2 linked regions of the Neodiprion lecontei genome follow. The protein of the gene in region 2 interacts with the protein of the main gene of each other region in a biochemical or structural test. Links are inferred from orthologs where the notes say so. Each region holds a gene or a part of one and is shown on either strand. Other genes may lie near its edges.

Region 1 (5,735 bases), on a different chromosome or scaffold from region 2:
AAAAAAAAATGTAACCTTGTTGGATGAAAGTCAATTTTTTTTACGTGTGAATGTGACAACTATTAGTTATTCGTCACAGTCTTTGTTCAGCTCGAAAGAAATATAAGTGAGAAAAAGAAGGCCCGTTGTAAATTAGTTGAATTTTTAATTGTATAAAATAAATATTCGAATCGGTTAAAAATCTAAGAAAACCATTATTTCGCACTCAGAAGTGTAATTAGTGTAATTAAAAGTACATGCTTGAGTTGCTGTCAACAAAATAATGAAATCTTACTTTTCACAGTGACTGGATTATGGGAAAGGCGACTGAAGTCGTTATTACTTATTCCTCATTACAACTACATGCATTTGCGGCTTTGATATGAGAACAGAAACGCAGTGGCAGAAACGGTGTTTTGGTCAGCCGTGGGCGGAATACCTAAACATCGCGAGTGACGCGTTTCATGATTCATTCATGGCAAAATCATAACTCACAACACTTGAACCAGTAGCGAATGGTAACAAGGTGGTAGTGTAGGGGCTCAAATGTATATGGGGCATCAATTAATCATGTCGTTTGAGCGATACTCGAGGTGAAAACGGCCACTTACACGTTATATCGTGATGGGTAAAATCGACTGTTTCTGTAATAAAAATCTGCGTATAACCCGAGAGTAATAAACGTCAGAAGCATTATATTTCAATGTAAATATTTTTATTGTTGATTGAAACCAAGAATAGCACAGCTATTCCATGTAGATAAACATGTATACAACGTGGGTACATACATAACGGTTTATAGTTTGTAATAATAAAAGAAAAACCTCTGAAAATGTGTAAAATTATCTATGAACGTACAACGCTGTAAAATGCGCTGCCCTGAAATCACTGTACATTTAAATTATTATTAATTGGCAACTAAAATTCTTTGCAATTGCTTTACAATAAAAACAAAATAATTGCGTTCTTTGGATGACTATGCATCTCTATTTTCTACTTTCGGCGTGAACTTTGTTTACGGATTTTAATGTTGATCGACATCAACGATGCGCGCAGATTTTTCTTTGCGCGCGCAAACTTATTCATAAATTCAAATAGAGATAATGCTCCTGTACACCTGTGGCATACACAAAACTTTTTCCCATAAGAATAGTAAAATCGTAATATCATCCTCAAGAAATTCGAATTTTTATACTGATTTTTACAGCAAACAGATTTCCAACTTGATATTTAGCAACGTAAATTCTTTTCGAATAATAAAAACGTCAAATTATCAATTAAGTCGCGTCGTTGAAGCAAAATATATATGTATATCATTTTATGTACAATATAGTAAAAGACAATATAATACAGCAATGTATATGCATAGTAATTGCAGGTTGTTTATGGAGTTATTCACAATCTGATATCCAATGGTGATCAATTATATTAGGTACTTATCACACGAGCTAGAATCACAAAGTTTGTTCCATTGCTCGAGAGCGAACAAGTGAACGGTACAACTGTATATATATTTATATTTATATGTTCTCTGGTAACTGAGAGGTAATTTTCAATAGGCTTCCATTGGCAATCACAGAAGTTCATTGGAATGGCTTGTTTTCTGAATTGCAATAGTACTTCAAGATCGTTGATCAACAATTGGAAGCATAAACATAATCTAAAGTTATTTTATACCATTGACTAGCTGATAGGGTTGTTGAACTGCTGTAAAACGGATATCACAACTTCCCTAAGCGTCTGTAAAAAAATATTACTTAATTAATTACTTATTTCGTTATTCATATTATGCACAATTCTCGATCTTATTCTGGGTTATTCAAAAATTAAGCCGTGCACAATAAAAATGACTCTGCGTCATAAAATCGAGATTACTTAGGTATTAATGTGAATCTAGCGTTGCTGTGATAGGGTGGATTACGCGTTCTAGTTCTCAACGCAATGACAAAGTGTATGAATACTCGATTGTTACCCTCTGCTTCATTTTCTCAGTTTCAATATCAGAGCACACATGTAGATCTTACCTGCGGTTTACAATGTTCCTCCAACCAGCTGAATACACAGGCTGATAATTCGGCAAAATTAGCTACTGAAACGTTGCTAAAAGTTTGAAACAAGCGGTCCATAATTGCCTGAAACTATACAAATTATAATGTGAGATGAGCTCAAAGATTGCCCGCTATTTATCGAAAATTATTATTTTTCAACTTAAATCTAAAAATGACTTTCAATAGTTACTTGCCCTGGCCAAATACTACTAATACTCCACTTAAGTGTGAATTGTTAGAATTATTTACGCCGTATTTGCATCAGACTATAGAAATGTACCAATTAAAACCAGACATAATTACCACTTGGAATTTAGCTTCGTCCGATACGCGTGCCTCAGCATGACCAGGCTGGGTCTGGTGAGCCTTGACGATCTGTTCGTAATTGGCTTGCATTATCCTTAGAGCTACGACCTCTTTTCGGAGAGCATTACGTTCCTCCTCCTGTTTCTTCTTTTGTTGCAAGAGAAACTGTATATAGTCAATTGATTTTTGAAGAACTGTCGCCTTAGACAATTTGTAGCCAGATGAATCTGTGTGCTGACAGGTGGGAACTAAGTCTTGAAGAGAGTCGTAACCCTTTTTTATGGCATCTCTTCGTTTCTGTTCTGCCTGAGTATGAGCTTCTCTGCGACGCTCTTTGTAACTGATTGTAGAATTTTTATTGTCACTGTCTTCATCTTCTGAAAAACAATAAAATAGATCCTACAGTGAAACTCACCGGTATGTATGTTTGAAAAGTTTCATATAGTGATTCAACAAACATATTACCCTGGAGGAGTAATTGGTCTTAAATAAAATTACAGAAGTATAATTTAATATGTTCTTTTACCAGTGTTATGTGCAGATGACGAAGGAGTATTGATGGAACCAGTGCTACTGCATCGGGAAAAGGTATATCTTTCGGTAGGACTAGACGGCTCCAATTTCATATCTCCATCCGATCCTGCTCCGCTGTGCATCGCCATTCCTTCTACAGCAACAAAGATTCACGAGATTTAGAATATCAGAAGAAACAAAACTATGTTAACAGTAATCACTGGATCATATAAGAGAATCGTGTACGTGTGTTCTATGATATATTTGTGAAACAGAAAATCGAAAAACAGTCAAAGGAAAACTGGAAAATAACCAAATTACCAAATTTTGAGATTAGTATGCGTACACGTGACCGTGGAAATGAATAAACTGAGTTTATCCCTGTCTCTAAATAGGTTTGCCCCGTTATGATACGTCAATAAGATACCTAATCTGTAGTCAATAGCCTTGACACGAGTGTTGATTATTAGGATTACTGCAATAGAAAAAGAAGAGAACATACACAACAAAAAGACAAGGAGAACTATCAAGTACGAATACTTACGGGGTTCGTATCCGTCTTTGTACGGTAGATCGGCCATCGTGTTGATAAGATAAGTATTGCATATACGCACTTAACTCAACGATGAAGCAAAGTCGGCTATATGTTGGGCGCGATAACCTCAGATTGAAAATTTGTCGAACGTTGATAGAAGTCGGCGTAAATCATGTGGTACTTAATAAATTTACAATATTTTTTAACAATCTGACGTGATATCTTTTCGAAAAACACGGTAACTTAGCTTTTTAATACTCATAACGCTGCTGACCACTTCTTGTTACCGTTTCGACGCGCCATCTTGACGAAACAGCTTTCATCGGGAATAAACGCGAAAACGCAATATGCGCCACAGTGTGTTCAACTGTTCACTATACGAACTGTCAAACATAACCACGTGCTCGAGTAGCAGACGAAAAGGACAAAACAAATTTTCGTCCACCCTGTGACCTGTCTAGTGCAGGATGTACAAGATTCAAACGTGGACTCGGTTCGCAACCTTGCGATATAAATTTTCCGTAGCGTAGAAAAGGTAAAAATTTTGTAATATATCTAAAAATGCTTCCAAGTTTGCACTACAATTTGAGAAATAACTAACAGATCGTATCATGGATAAATGAATATTTTTTAAATAATTTCAAACGGAGTATATGTAATAAAATCGACGTCACCGGATCAATCGAATCGTGAACGGTATTTTCGAGGGACATCAATTTGGTACAATTTTATAAGATACATTTTTTTTAACAATTTCAAGATTCATACATTTCGAAATTAAAAAAAGTATTACCTGCGTTGGGTAACTAAGGATTATGTACAAAAGATTAAAAACAGCATTACGTTAAATTATTATTTATTATGTGATGTATCTAATATATATATTTACATTCGCTTTAATACACATAAAACAAATATATGATAATATAATTATAACTTTTTTTTTTTTTTTTTTTTTAGTAACACAGCTATCATTCTCGTTTCGCTGTGCAACTAGCACGTTTAGTTTTATTCAATTCAAATTCGATTTATATATTATTCTTACAGTAATTTTTTTAATTTGGTGTAAACTTGTGTGACATATGTATTGCGTGTGGGGATATTGTGTTTTCATGTGATGGAATTATAATTGCCTCCACAGGCGAATGTTGCGTAATACACTCAAATAGTAATGAATTTAAAAATTCTGATATCTTCTCTACTTAGTCAATATGACTTTGGTCAATGAGCTTGCCGGCTATTGCTTTACCCACGACAATTAGCAATAGTGATCCAACTCTACATGTTTAACAAATATGGTAATGATTTTTTTAAATGAATTCGTTAGCTTTTTATGAAAAGAGAAATCGCTTGATTTCAAGAAAAACATTTTGCTGTGTTCTCTGGTAAGCACAACCTAAATTCCTGCTAACTTCTAACGCTAATTGTGTATTTATTGTATTCTTTAATTTAAATACATTCAACACACTACTTGTATGTACAATATTATCATGTATATATATATATATATATATATAAACTATATATATATATACCTATATACATGTATATAGATTTTTTTTCATACGGTGCTACTTTAATGGATTCAGAAGCCAGCATTGAGGAAACACCAAAAATAAAATAACAAACTATTCATTAATGTGTTCAAATAATATATCAATACAGATATATTGAAATATCATACAAGTAAGATAAAGTTTGATTGAATGGTAATTCGTATATTAACGTATAACTTGAGATCACAAAAATATTCACCTGCAATAGAATTATGCTAATATTCATCATTTCGGATTATAGCAATAAAATCGGAATTGGGATGTCAATGTTGTGTTCAAAATTCAATTATTATATAACATATAAATAATATAATTGATGATGAGGATAATTTTCAACTAAAATCACCAGTCTCTTTGAGTAAAACAGAACACAGGAAGTTTAGTCTGAATGTTGAAAGAAAAATAGGTGAATAAGTGAAATAATTAAATTTTCAATATATAAATTGATTTTAATCCATAAATTATTGAGCTCGTAGCGTTGTTTGATGAGGTAATTATTCATTACTGGTCTCTGAGATCTTTTTTACAAAACATTAAATAAAATTCACACATTTTCTAGCCAAAACCGCCCTACGTCAATTTTGTCTGAATAAAGGTCACTTTCCCGCGATTTAAATCGATAAAGCATCACATATAGTAATAAGATTTCATCACTTTTAAATTTAGTTTTTTTTTTCACCTTTTCGTTTTATTTCTCATTTGACATTGATAAAAAATTATATATTTTGATAGTTACTTTACTATTAATAATTATTAGTTATATCTTATTGTTCCATTAGACTTTAAACTAAAATGCTC
Region 2 (5,104 bases):
AACGTTATCTTAACGACGATTCATGCCGAGGAAAAATTGTTACTTTGCAATTTTGATGGAATTGTTTGAAATTCGGTAAGCCGTAATAAATATTAATAGTGATTTTCTTCCGCAATGTTTCGTTACGATAAAGTTACTGACTTCAATCCCGTTAAAAAAAATCTCAAAGTGAAAACGATTTGCTAGCCCGAACACGGCAATTGGATTTTTACGGAATTGGATTGGCAAAATACGCGAGTCGTATAATTGCTGTATTAAAAAATTCGAAGTAACAACGTAACCTAAAAATGCTTCGTTGTAACATTAAATTTGCGAACAACAACAATTACATTTTTGAAAAAAAAAGAGTCTGCATGAATTATATTTTCAAGTGAATTAGCCAGCAAGACGATAACAAAGAAGAGTGAATAACGGAAGAGAAATAAAAAGAGAGGAAAAGAGAAAGAAAGAGAGAGAGAGAGAGAGAAAGACAAGATAACAATTTTTACAAGGCAAACAGCGAGTTCTTTCGCCGTTCAAGAGTCTGAAAAGGAACGAACGATCTACAAAGTCATATTATCATTTCTGAAACATAATAACACGAGAGAGCAGCGCCGGTGGTTACACATCGGACTTTTCTATTTCCCACGAAAATAATATGGAAAAAATGGTTTTCGCGCTTTGTAATTTTTATAACTAGCTAACGATCGGTCCTAACGAAAAAATTCACAGACACACTTTTGTACAGAGTTGAACGTTCTTCAAAGAAAGTCTCTCTTATCGTTTTACGATAAATCTACTCTTTCAAGTAAGATTTTTTTATCAACATCCTCTAATAACTTTTGAACGAGTGAATTTATCAGAAAATAATAAGAGACCTTTTTTGAAGATCGTTCAATTCCCCACCAAAATACGTCTGCGAATTTTTTGTACGACGCATTTTTATCTAGTTATAAAAATCAGAAAGAGCAAATATTTTTTTCCGTATTCATTGTTATGGAAACTAGAAAAGTTCGATGCGAAACCTCTTGAATGATATTAATATTTCGAGCTAAAGCTGTAACAGGCGTATTATTTATATCTAAATGGAACTTTTGAACCTGTTTGAACGAAGGAGAATAATTTATTTTTTATTTAAAAAAAACCTGATAGACGCGCAAGATTTTTCGCGGCACGCATATCGTGCGTTATTTTATCACCCATCAATCCCCCCCCCCCCCCCCCCCCTTCCGACACCCTGTATTTCAACAATTTTCCACCCCGCCGCGGAACGCACGACGACAAATTTGTACTCTTGCATACATAAAACAAGACTATAAATACACGACACGTGTGTGTAAACTTAAATTTAACGCGGTTTCGCGTTAGCTTCCTCGTACCTTTAACGGCCGTTAAAGAGAGTGTGGTAAAGTAGTGAAAACGTCGTTACGACCACCGTCGGTCCAAAAATAACGCGCATAAGGGGGCGAGAGTCGACGAAAAAGCTCCGCGCGAATCAAAGACCTATCGCAATATACGTACTTTAAGAGGGAAACAAAATAGTAGAAGTCCTCCTTACCGACGGCACAGGATTTCGCAGTTTTTCGTACGAAATTGCAAGTATACATAGCTTTTAAAAAAACTGTGCGTCCTTGCATACTTTGTATAAAAAAAAAAACTTCCTTCTCTCTTTCCCCTCAACGGCGGGGGGTAGAAAACTTGAAAAATAATACCTTTGGTCCGCGTGTGGAATAAAACCGAGTTTTCCGCCGTCGGCAAATCGCGACGGATAGATAGCGTTTGTAAAACACCAATAAGGTTCCCTTATTTGCTTATCCCTTCTTTCCGCGATGCAAAGAGGATCATACGCGGGACCCGGAGGTTGTAAACGACGTAGTTATTATTTGCATGTAAGTGTAACGTAAACGGCGGGGCCGTCCGTCCAATGCGGAGAATTAAATCCCCGCCCGTCCTTCGCCCGACGAACCGGGATTTCAACACCTACCGCCAGGTCAGGGAGTAAACTTTAGCGACTTACTTTCCCAATCTCAATCGTTCGGGGCAACGTGGCGAATCTAGGTTCAGAAACGCGAGCGAAATGCTTCTCGGTTTTCACCAACATAGAGACATACTCGACAACGCGTTACAGTACTTGCAGAGCAACGAATAATATTCGCGCTCACGGTCTTTCTAATCGAGGCGAAGGAGAAAGAGAGTATGGAAAAACGGTGATATAAATATTTTACGCGAACCGTCCTGCTGGTAGCAACGTGAATTTTACAAGCATTGCCAAGTCTACGGTTTCTCAAGCCTCGAATCTGACCACCACGGGCAATGCAATACGGGTGGCGCGTCGACTCGCGTGTAAATTATCAGGGATTAGAAAACTCTTCTTTTTGATCTTCAAAAATTCGGGAGTGAATATTATCGTCCAGAAGAATTATAATCCCTTTTCGAGCCCCCCCCCGGCCTCGAGATCTTTTTTCCACGATTGTCGCCCCGAACGCGCTCTTCACCCGACTTCCACTCGTGTTTACGCACCGTTGTTGCGCTGATCGTTATTATGATTATTATTGTTGTTGCAACGGGGCTATTTTTCGCGCTTTAATATCGTTCTCGAGCACACGGGCAACACTATTTCCGCACCATTAGCTCGCGGATGCGTGTGTGTGTGTGTGTGTGTGTGTGTGTGCGTGTGTGTGCGTATGCAGTGCTGCGATCCCGTACCTCTATGCACAACCTTGTACGCGCGTAAGAGTCAGAGTTCCTTCCTCCTTCTCGTTGTTACTGTTGTTGGTGTCGCTGTTGTTGTCGTCGTTTCACACCGAGGATTTAGTAACCTCTGAACTATGACTCGTGTCATTTGTTGCGGTAACACCGGGTCGAAGGGCACGATCCCTCGGCGACGAGACCCATTACAACTTTACTACGCGGCACGAGGACGAAGTACCTCATTCTGGTAGCACCGCCATTTACGCGTCAATCTAACGCACTATCGTACCGTAAAACGTCGTACGTATGTACGCACCTCCGTCCGTCCGTTCGTTCGTGCGTTCCTCGTCGCGTTCCGTTGTTGTTACGTTTCACAGCTGATGACCACGACCAACCGACCATTGAGATCTGGCTCCCGTAGCAGCGCCGTCGAACTGCGACGACCGCTGTGAAACTAATTGCGACCGCAGCGCCATCCACGGAAAATCTGCCCTCGACCAACCGCGGCCCCTTCTTACCGACCGAGTTTGCCGCCGTTACTGAGACTGGTTGAATCAACCTCTGACAATGAGCAGCTAATGCATAGGGGATCTTCTTTCTCGCCTTAATTAATTCGCCGACATTGATGTCAGGCGTACCAATATTCTTGTCGAGATACCGCATCTCATCGGCCTTGCCAACCGTAGAAAAATTTCAGTAGGATTTCTAAAGAAATTTGAGTCCGTTCAAAGAAAAGAGAAAAGTTGTTTTCGCGTTAAGAAATATTGCCGTTGAGGCCGGAATGTGAATAAAATCTGAACATCTTTGACGAAATTTCAATACTGATAAAAAAATCTCTGAATATGTTTCAATACCGTTAAACATCACTCTTGAAAATGAGAAATATCACGACTTATTATGGCGCCATTAAATTACCTGAACGAATTATTGTGGTGCCATCTAAATAGATATATTCGTTTGATGGGTTGGCAACGCCGCTTGACATACGTTACAAGATACACGAATCAATTCTGCCGCGCAACAATGTAGGCCCGCGGACTTTGGAATATAATCTTTCGGTGAGAATAGGAACCAAGGGAGTTACTACGCGAAATATTACAGCAATACTTGCGCCTGTATCACGCAATCAATCATCGACTACTAGTTTCAATGCTGCGCATTGTTTTGTCTAGTGATAATAATTGTTACCTGCGTGCGATGGGCGGCCTTTGATTTCCGGTATTCGTTCTTTGCTCCATTCCAATCGATACTTCAACGTGATTCCGTATTGTTCTCAAGAAATCCAATTCCTATTTTCTTCGCAGGAAACCGTCAAATGCAACGGGCAATATCTGTTTTGTACCTGTCCCTGTTTCCGACTGTTATTCGAAAAAATTCGACTTTATTCATACCGACGAATTCCAATTTTCGTCGTAGTTTCAACGTGGCCTTCATTATAAAATTATCACAATGAGCTTGATATGTTTAGTCCATGATTGAGAACCTTTTGGCTGCTTTCTAGAGTCTCTTTGTTGCGTAACAAACCGTATGATTATCGAACTGCGAAAAAAATGCCAATCAGTTTTGAGTGAAGAATAAACAAATTATAGTTTAAACAAGTAGGCGAAGATGGCGGGGTGGTAGAGTCAACCGGTGACGCCATCCGTGATGAAATTCAAAATTAGGCGCGAGATTTAAATGTGGAAACAATTCGTTAGACCTAAACGAGTGGCATTAAATTAATTAGATAATTGAGCTCGATCAACCGAGTTCATTTTTGATAGTTAATAATGACATCATATGATCTTTCATTTGTAACTGCAGGATATAAATGATTTTTTATTATTGAAAATAGCATTAGCATAGTTATTATAATAGTACCTAGATAGTGTCAATTCTTTCGTAATAAATATACGTAAAACTTTAAAAGGCGATTACAATATTTACGTGCGTTACACGTCTGCATTTAAAAATTGTATATAGAAAGTATCGCGCTCAGTACCGCAAAATTTATATTTTTTTTTCTTACTATGGATACACACAAACGCGTACCTAGCGTAGGCGACGGTGTAGATAAGTATATTAAAGCCACGAGTATTTCACTTCAGTTTACCATTAATTATATATACATATACTTATACATGTATGTATGTATAATCTAAATACTAGTTTAAATTCGTGATATAATTAGAAAAATTTATCGAACGTTAAAAAGAATTCAATTACTAATAGATACACTACCTGGCGTGATCGAATCTCGAATACATATACGTGATGACGGATGAAAAATTATGCCGTATAATGCATAAGTTATTTCCGGGGTCGACCACTTCGCTGCATGAAGCAACCCTTGAAGGAATTCAGTCTTACGTCAATTTCTCCCTCCTCCAACTGCGAATAAAATAAGATCGTTGTGAAGCTTGAGCGATATGAACTTTTTTTTCCTACGGTTCGC

The links.
Region 1: the proteins of MLX-interacting protein (region 2) and max-like protein X form a complex in vitro, tested with the Homo sapiens proteins (2 studies listed by BioGRID, with this or other methods). The link is inferred for Neodiprion lecontei from reciprocal best matches to the Homo sapiens genes MLXIP and MLX.

Annotation. Positions count from the first base shown.
Region 1 is NC_060262.1:29,695,748-29,701,482, forward strand, and holds max-like protein X, read right to left. Parts: upstream 3,702-5,735; 5' UTR 3,428-3,701; coding exon 3,391-3,427; intron 3,293-3,390; exon of another isoform or gene 3,168-3,292; intron 3,001-3,167; coding exon 2,860-3,000; intron 2,711-2,859; coding exon 2,331-2,710; intron 2,118-2,330; coding exon 2,004-2,117; intron 1,720-2,003; coding exon 1,663-1,719; 3' UTR 678-1,662; downstream 1-677. UniProt on the Homo sapiens protein: Transcription regulator. Forms a sequence-specific DNA-binding protein complex with MAD1, MAD4, MNT, WBSCR14 and MLXIP which recognizes the core sequence 5'-CACGTG-3'. The TCFL4-MAD1, TCFL4-MAD4, TCFL4-WBSCR14 complexes are transcriptional repressors.
Region 2 is NC_060264.1:2,225,732-2,230,835, forward strand, and holds the start of MLX-interacting protein, read right to left. Parts: upstream 3,111-5,104; 5' UTR 2,987-3,110; exon of another isoform or gene 2,686-2,986; intron 1-2,685. Other genes in the region: uncharacterized protein LOC107228024, read right to left, coding at 4,960-5,040. UniProt on the Homo sapiens protein: Binds DNA as a heterodimer with MLX and activates transcription. Binds to the canonical E box sequence 5'-CACGTG-3'. Plays a role in transcriptional activation of glycolytic target genes. Involved in glucose-responsive gene regulation.